2 linked regions of the Rattus norvegicus genome follow. The main gene of each other region encodes a partner of the protein of the gene in region 2 in a complex. Links are inferred from orthologs where the notes say so. Each region holds a gene or a part of one and is shown on either strand. Other genes may lie near its edges. The genes, in order: Vasp and Pfn2.

Region 1 (3,804 bases), on a different chromosome or scaffold from region 2:
ACAGGACCAGAAGCCTCTGGCTCCTCTCAGGGGCCTGGGCGCACTCTTTTCAACGATGCAAACGGATGATTCCAAAGTGGCCATGGGTTCAGAGAGCTGTGGAACCCTAGGGTGGAGTGAGGATGGGGCATGGGGGGGAGGGATTGTGCCAGAATGGTTCATTCCCTCATCAGATTCTTTGGGGTTAGATTTTCTTTTTCTTTTCTTCCCTATTTAGACAAGGTCTCACTGTGTAGCCTAGGGTAGCCTGGAACTTTGCAGACCAGGCTGGGTTCAAACTTGCAGACCCACCTGCCTCTACCTTCTGAATGGCGGGAAAGGTGTGCAGCATCATGTCAGTCCCCTACTGATTTCTAAGGCCGCTGAAATTCACTACATAGCCCAGGCTGGCCTTAACTCTTGGCAACCCTCCTGCCTCAGGCTCCCATGTCCCGAGATGACAGGTTGAGCGCCACCACACCTAGTTTTGCAGTACGTTTCTTCATCTCCGGGAGCTTGGCCACTGGTGTCTGAATGCTGTTTACCTCTAGACTCATGGCCCTCTCACCTTTCTAGAAAGTGAAAACTGGCAGGTTCTGAACTCTGGGAGGTATGGGGTGCCCAGGAGGAGGGAGGGTCCCCACCTTTTCTGTTGTTCCAGCTCCTCTGGGGAGGGGCCATTCTGGGTAGACCAGGCAGGGGGTGCTGGGGCAGGGGGAGGCCCACCTCCTGGAAGGTGAAGAGAAAACCACAGTAAGACAACAGGAGCTCGATCTTCCCTCAGTCCCCTCCCCTCAGCCGGATGCCATCCCAGTGAACCAGAGGCCCTGACAGCCCTCGCAAGGAGTGGCCTCCCTGGACACCGAGATCCAGTAGTTGCTAAGCAGGTTAGAAATCTGCAGGAACAATCAATCACATTTCCAGCTCGTAGGGACTAACCACAGGCCTCCACTACCAATGGCTTCTCCACAGACAGAGTGGGTAAGCTCTTCCACCAATACTAATAAGGCGGTGAAGCCAACACCTCAGCCGTTGGGTGTTTTCCGTCTACAGAAAGCAGAGCAGTCTATCTAATAAAAAAATTTTTAAAAAAAGCACATTTACACACACACACACACACACACACACACACACACACACGAAAGAAAGAAAGAGAGAGAGAGAGAGAGAGAGAAAGAAAGAGCAGTCACCTAGGGCACGGCTTTGAAAGTGCTGTCCGAGGGGGCTGGGGACGTGGCTCAGTGGTAAAGCACCTGGAGAACCTGTCCGAAGCCACCCCCATTAAATCACCAGCATCAAAAAAAAAAAAAAAAAAAAAAAAAAAAAAAAAAAAAAAGACAGGATCTTGGCATCATTAGGAAACTTGAAAGAATAAAAATAAATAAATAAAGGAAGTCTTGTTCCCTGCACTCCAGCCTGTACTTGACCCAGATCACCACATGGGCTGAATGTTTCCAGAAACAGAAATACCATGTATCTGGGCACAGGGCGCACGCCCTTGATCCCAGCACTCAGAAGGCAGAGGCAGGCGGATCTCTCTCTGAATCTGAGGCCAGCCCAGTCTACAGTAAGTTTCAGGACAGGCAGGGCTACCCAGAGAAATCCTGATGAGAGGGGGGCGGGGGGAGGGAGGGAGGGAGACACACAGAGACAGAGAGAGAGACAGAGAGAGAAAGGAAAAAGAAAGAATGGGAGGAAGAAGGAGAAAGGAATAAAAGGAAAGAGGAAGGAAGGAAGGGAAGGGAAGGGAAATTTAAAGACAACGTAGAGACTTTATTCTGGACTGCGATGGCACCAGGCTGACACACAGCAGGCAGCCCTGCAGCACTGAGAAGCTGTCCTAAGCCACCTAAGAACCTTGCTTTACAGCAAATATGGCTGTGGGGCCCAGAATGGCCCAGAACTCTCCATCCTCTCACGCCTCACCTTCTCTCTCAAAGGCTCACATTACACGTATGCACCATGACCAACACAGGCAACACAATGGAGGCTGGACAGACAGATGTCTTGGTGTGGCAAGTGGTCAAGGGAAACCTGCTATCATCTCTGAGTGGGGTCCTCACCAAGCGCTGACAGCTCCCATTAGTCTTCCTCCATGGGTTAGTTGATTTCTAGGTAGGTAGACTTAGACCCTGAAGGGCAGGGTAGCAGCTTCAGCCTGCAGAACGCTGCTAAGGGGGCTCTCCTGCTCACCCCAAACCCCAGTCCGTTTGGTTGTTTGAGACAGGGTTTCTCTGTGTAGCCCTGGCTGTCCTGAAACTCACTGTGTAGACCAGATCAAGAGATCCACCTGCCTCTGCCTCCTGAGTGCTGGGACTAAAAGCATGAATGACTACTATGTGTTTTGTTTTTCATTTTTATATGTATGGGTGTTTTGCCTATACATGAATTTCTGTGAACCACATATGTGCCAAGTGCCCACAAAGGCCAGATGTCAGATCCCTTGGCACTCTGAGCCACCTGGGGGTGCTGGGAGTCAAACCCAGGTCCTCTGGAAGAGCAGTAAATGCTCTTAAGCACTGAACCATCTCTCCTGTCCTCCAACACATACACATACATACACATACTCACACGCGCGCGCGCACACACGCACACACACACACACACACACACTTTTGAGATAGAGCTTTATGTAGCTCAGGCTGTCTCACACTTCCCGTGTAGCTGAGGATAGCCTTAATCTCATTATCCTCCCTCCTCTACCTGCTGAGCGCTGGGACAACAGGCACCAAGTTCATGCAGTGCTGGGGACTGAATGCAGAGCCACACACAGGCTAGCTGAGCTCTCTACCTACAGACCTACATCCCCAGTCCCGATCTTATTTGTAACAGAGTCTTGCTTCGTCCTCCAAGCCCGCCTGGGACTTGTTACAATCCCTGTTCCTGTCCCTTTATCATAAAGTGAGCCCCAGCTCCATCCCGCCTGCCCATCTAACCTTCCAAGGCCTCCAGGGCATTGGCCATGCCGATCGCAAACTGCGCAGCGTCCTCCTTGCTGCCGAAGTTGAGGCCCCAGACCTGGCGGGCATCACGCCACTGGTGGAATATGGGAGTGGCCTGATTGTACTTGACACCTCGAATGATGGCACAGTTGATAACCACCTACAAGAGCACACAGGTTGGTGGGGGCTCAGTGGCAGGGAGGCAGGGAGGCAGAGGGACAGAGGGAGCCTGCACCTGCTGGTCAGGCTGCAGCTTGCGGCCAACAACTCGGAAAGAGTTAGCAGTGGGGTTGTGGTAGATCTGGACGCGGCTAAAGGCCTGGGGACCGGTGCCAGCAGGAAGCCATCGTTTGTTGCTGTCATCGTAAAGCATCACAGTAGCCCGGCTGGAACAAATGACCGTCTCGTTGCTAGGGGAGAAAGCAGAGGGACCAGTCACATTCTTCTTAGATCCATACAGTACATGCAGAAAACAAACTGCAGCCTGTACATGAATGTGCGGGGATGTGGTTGTACATGCATGCCTGGGGGGGTGTTGCTCAGTGGTTAGAGCCCCTGCCTAGAATCCCCCAGGGAGGGGCTGGGGGCGTGGTAGAGTGCTTGCCCCCAGCATGCTCGCTCCGGCCCCTAGTTGAGCCCACAGTACTATAAAAGAAGATAAATTGACAGCTGAGTGCACTGTAGGGAAGAGATAGGCCACACACAGGAAGAGGCAGAAAGAGATAAAGTAGGGTCCATAAGACTTGAGCTGGGGGCTAGGCAGCTTGCTCAGGTCCTGGGCTCAGCCTCTACAGCCTTAGTCAAAAATGGAAAAGGCAGAGTCGCCAGGACTAGCAGACAGCAGGGAGTCAGCTGAGAACAGCCTCTGCCTGGCCTCAGTTTC
Region 2 (4,525 bases):
TTATTTCTCTCTTCTTCCGAAATGTTCCTGGCAGAAAAATAAAACAATGTGATTGTTTCCTTTTTATGATGAGCAGGGAACGGATTTCAAATCTAAGGAAACATTAAAGGAGAGCTCTACAAGACTAATTAGACACAAAAATAACTAAGTGACCAGAACAGTTTAACAACCACATATACCCCAGCATCCTAACATGACGGCTTAAGAGGCAACTTTCCATTGTTAAGATTACTAAAGCTGTGGCAGTTTACAGCAGTCAGGGGGAGGAGTGAGGCGCGTACGCACCACTCTGAAACAGACGAGATGGTAGCAGTGCCAGCCTTCAGTGCTGAGCAGCTCACAAACCCCCTTAAGAGTCTCTAGGAACGAATCTTTACTTAAACCATTAAAGAAACCCAAGTTCTAACGTGGCATGCAACTTTCAGGCACAAAAAACCAGCTTGCTTACCTCTCCCAGCTCTGCCAACAGCAACGTTGTATGTTGGCTCCCCACCTTGACTCTTTGTCCGGATGTCCATTGTGCAGTCCGAGTCAACGTATAGGCTATCTCTGATCACAGAGCACTTCTTTCCTCCAAGAGTCAAACCATTGGTAAAGAAACCTTCCCGGTCTTTTCCTATAATCACATCTATTTCTGCTGGCTGGCCACCCAAAACAAAGAAGAAAAAAATTACAGTTAATCAGAATTTGATACAACAAACTGTGTGCTGATGTAAATATCTTGATTGTTCTTGTTTTTATCATTACACGGTTACATGATTTACACATTAGTTTGCTTTTGCAGTGAGGTCTGCTAACTAAAAGCCAGAGTATAGCAACGGTACAAAGAGTCTCCCTAAACAGTTGGCAGTTGACACCGGCTACAAACTGAAATTGAGTTATTTATAAACTATATCAAGTCAGGTGCTACTTGAAGGTGCTTATGTAATTGTAAAGATTCAGCTATAAGCTCTTACAAAAGCTTGTCTGTCACATTCAGCCACATTAGTCATGTTGCATCAAAGTTAAAGTTGAGTGAAAGTCTACCCAGATAAACCTGCTCACTTCTCTGTTTCGAGCAGATTGAAATATCCCTGGCAGTGTGAGCCTCAAACACCACCTCCATCACTGTGGGGCATTTCCAAGTTCGTTTTTCCCTCCTATTTTTCTAGCCACTTTTTTCTCTCCAACTTGCCTTGCCCTTCCATTCAATAATCAGCTTTTCCTTCTGGACAAATGCAGTGTGGAGTCTGTCTACAGCACTGCAGTAACCAATAGTAAAATCAGAGAGAAAATGGAGGGGCATTGGTAAGGAAAGTGAGTTAGCCGGCAGAATAGAAAAGAGAATACGTTCATTCTAACATTCCATGAATAAGAAGGAAGGCGTCGCCCCCATCAGAACTGCAGAGTCATAGCAGGCCCCAGCCATTTCCAAGCATACTCCCGCAATCTTCTTAAGCCAGACAGCGGGAACTCACACACAAAGGCAAGACTGCAGAAAAAAAAAGTTAAATCACCAAATGTCAATTCGCTGTAGGAATTGTGATCTCTCACATGGGGACAGGAGATCTTAAAGCACTCCTATCATGGACTGAATCCACACTGATATATTAAACCATGTTAAGTAGTAAAATGCTGAGCACCTGTGATATGGGACTTGATTTTTCCTAGGTGATGGGAAGGGAGTGGGAGTGTGGAACTAAGAAATTAAGGGAATGGTCTTGTACTTGATACTGGTGCCAAAATTTTAAAGAAGAGCATTGCATAGAAACGAGCATAACAATAAGCAGTGCTGGAGGCTGATTGACGAATATACTCCAAACGTGTGGCAACCGAGTCAAATGCCATCAAGTCACATGAAGATGAGACAACGTGAAGCAGATATCGGTATTAGTTCTTTTACTACCATCACTAAAGAGGGAGTGACTTGAGAAGTGTCACCCCCCCCCAGCGACTCCCCAGATTTTTTTTTTAAATCACCCTTAAACCATCCCCTTTTTAGAGCTATGTTGCGTAACTGGGGATAACAGTATATCGATGAATCTCTATAGGTGGAGAAGAGAAATCAATGGCAGTTCGCCATCTTGGAGGAAAAAAAAAACTATAGAGCCACAGCTGAAGTAGATTCACGATTCCACCTACGTGGTCCGCGTACCTTTCTCTCCAGCCTAGGAGGCCTGGACACCCGCAAGCCTACGCAAAGTCACTCCATTAATTCCCGGGACCCGGCCACCGCCGCCACCCACATCCCGCGCACACTGCCGAGCCAGGGCCAGCCTGCTGCCTAGGACCTCCCGCCCACACCCGGGGACCTGCACTGCAGCCCGCCGGGCTCCCCGAACGCTGAGGGGCCTCCCGGGGTGACGTCCCCTCCTCCACCCTGGCAGCCGCAAGCCGGGGCGCCGCCGGGGCGAAGAGTCCGGCCGCCCCGCCCCCGCGCGGCCTCGGGCAGCATCCCCAGGCTCAGCGGCTGGCACGGGGGCCCCCCCGGCTGCATGCCCTTCCTCAGCCGGCGGTACCCTATCCTTCAGCCCCGGCCTCATCCCCTTCCTCGCGGGCGGGCGTCCCCTTCCTCAGGCCCGCCGCACACCTGCCGGCTCGGCGCCCCCGGGCCTCACCGTGATGCTCTGGAAGACGCCCCCGGCCGTGGCTGCCCAGACGTATTTGGCGTCGCAGTAGCCGACAATGGCGGCCTCCTGGCAGCAGCCATCGCACATCAGGTTATCCACGTAGCTCTGCCAACCGGCCATCTTCGAGCCCTTCGCACTGCAGCGGGGACGGCAGGAGCAGAGGCGCAGCAGCAGCGGCGGCGGCGGCGGCGGTGGAGGCGGGGCGGGGGCGGGGAGGAGGCGGCTCTGCGCAGGCACCGACCGCCCCTCTCCGGGGAACTGCGGCGGGCGGGGACAGGACCCGCAGCGGGGAGCGCCGGGCGGCCGCGGCCGCGGGGCTCAGGGGCCAGCGGCTGAGCGACGCTTGCAGCGGGGCTGGCGACGGCCGACTCACACCGCAGCTCCCTCGGCTCTCCGCGGCCAGCGGGACGTGTACGCGCGTGCGTGCGATCCTTCCGCAGCGCAGCCGGCGAGGGTCCCGGGGAGGGCGGGAGAGCTGAGGCGGGGGCGCGGAGGGATACCGCCGGGGACAATCACGGCCCACACGTGCGGCAGGCGAGCGGGAGCAGGGCTGGGGCGCGGCGGCGGAGGCTTCACCGCAGGCTATGAGGCGAGGCAGCTTGAGTGGGCGCCGTAGGGTGCCAGAGCTCTGGGTGCACGGCGGCCGCGGTGCTCACTCCTCAAGTGCCAGCCCTGGACGCGGTATTTATTGACAGCACCGGTGTCGGGTGGCAGGGTTGCCCTGGTGACGGGATGCAGACGAGGGTTTACTCTTTGTAGTGGGAGCGGCCAGTGCGGGTTGCCCACACTTGGGGAGGTGTCTCTTGAAAGACCTTGGCCAGCTGCGCCTCGCACGCTCCTGAAATCAGAGCAGTGGCAACGGAGCAGCGCAGCTCTTTGTTGCCTCCTTTGAGTACGAGGAACTCCAGGTTCAGTGGAGCTTTTGCCCTGAACGCAGTGCTGCTAATCACACATGGGGCTCAACGGTCCAGAAATTCTAACTAAAAAAAGCAAAGCAAAGCAAAACAAAAAAACCAGACCCTATGCGTACTTGGTAACTGGAAAAGTTACTGTGCGTTAAATACATCCACGAAATACAAAGAATAGTCGAGCTAGAAAAGATTCATTGAACTAGACCAGTGGTTCTCAAACTTCCTAATGCTGAGCGTGACCCCTTAACACAGTTACCTATGTTGTGCTAACCCCCCAACCATAAATTATTTTGTTGCTATTTCATAACTGTAAATTTGCTAGTTATGAATCATAATGTAAATATCTGATATGTGCCCCCAAAGGGTTTGAGGCCCACAGGTTGAGACCCACTGTACTAAATGGTGAAAATAATTCAGAATCTACATCCGAGGAAGACTTGTATATGACAGGGTGGGAAATGGTTTAAGAGTCTCCGAACATTCTCCTACATCTTTATTAACTTTATGTGCTGGGTCTAGACTCAGCATCAGATGTTCCCCAACGATGACCAGTTTGAGGTGACAAACCCGACCTGCTTATTAAGGGAAAGAAAGCTCCAGTAGATTGCAAACTATCATCAAGTTTAAAGTTGTGGAGCACACTGACAATTTTATAATAGCATCACTGAACTTTTATTTATTATTTATTTATTGGGCTTTAAAAAAAATAATGTCTTAGAGTTCTGATCGCTATGAAGAGACACTGTGACCACAGCAACTCTTATAAAAGAAAGCATTTAATTGGGGCCTGGCTTACAGTTCCAGAGGTTTAGTCCATTCTCATCATGCCTGGAAGTATGCAGTCTGGCATGATATGGAGAAATAGCTGAGAGTTCTATGTCTGGATCCCAAAGTAGCAGGAAGAGAGCATCACTGGTTTTGAATTGGACTTTGGAAACCTCAAAGCCCACCCACAGTACCACACTTCCTCCAACAAGGCCACACCTACTAATCCTTCCCAAGTAG

What was found.
Region 1: the proteins of Pfn2 (region 2) and Vasp are in contact, whole or in part, in a crystal structure (PDB 2V8C), measured with the Mus musculus proteins. The link is inferred for Rattus norvegicus from reciprocal best matches to the Homo sapiens genes PFN2 and VASP. Residues at the interface, in NP_062283.1 of Mus musculus: Gly3, Trp4, Ser6, Tyr7, Asn10, Cys13, Tyr30, Trp32, Met131, Tyr134, Ser138, Phe140; in NP_033525.2 of Mus musculus: Gly165, Pro166, Pro167, Pro168, Pro169, Pro170, Gly171, Pro172, Pro173, Pro174, Pro175, Pro176.

Annotation. Positions count from the first base shown.
Region 1 is NC_086019.1:88,042,794-88,046,597, forward strand, and holds part of Vasp (vasodilator-stimulated phosphoprotein), read right to left. Parts: intron 3,332-3,804; coding exon 3,157-3,331; intron 3,082-3,156; coding exon 2,916-3,081; intron 709-2,915; coding exon 624-708; intron 1-623. UniProt on the Homo sapiens protein: Ena/VASP proteins are actin-associated proteins involved in a range of processes dependent on cytoskeleton remodeling and cell polarity such as axon guidance, lamellipodial and filopodial dynamics, platelet activation and cell migration.
Region 2 is NC_086020.1:144,220,078-144,224,602, forward strand, and holds the start of Pfn2 (profilin-2), read right to left. Parts: upstream 2,860-4,525; 5' UTR 2,730-2,859; coding exon 2,598-2,729; intron 642-2,597; coding exon 449-641; intron 1-448. UniProt on the Homo sapiens protein: Binds to actin and affects the structure of the cytoskeleton. At high concentrations, profilin prevents the polymerization of actin, whereas it enhances it at low concentrations. By binding to PIP2, it inhibits the formation of IP3 and DG.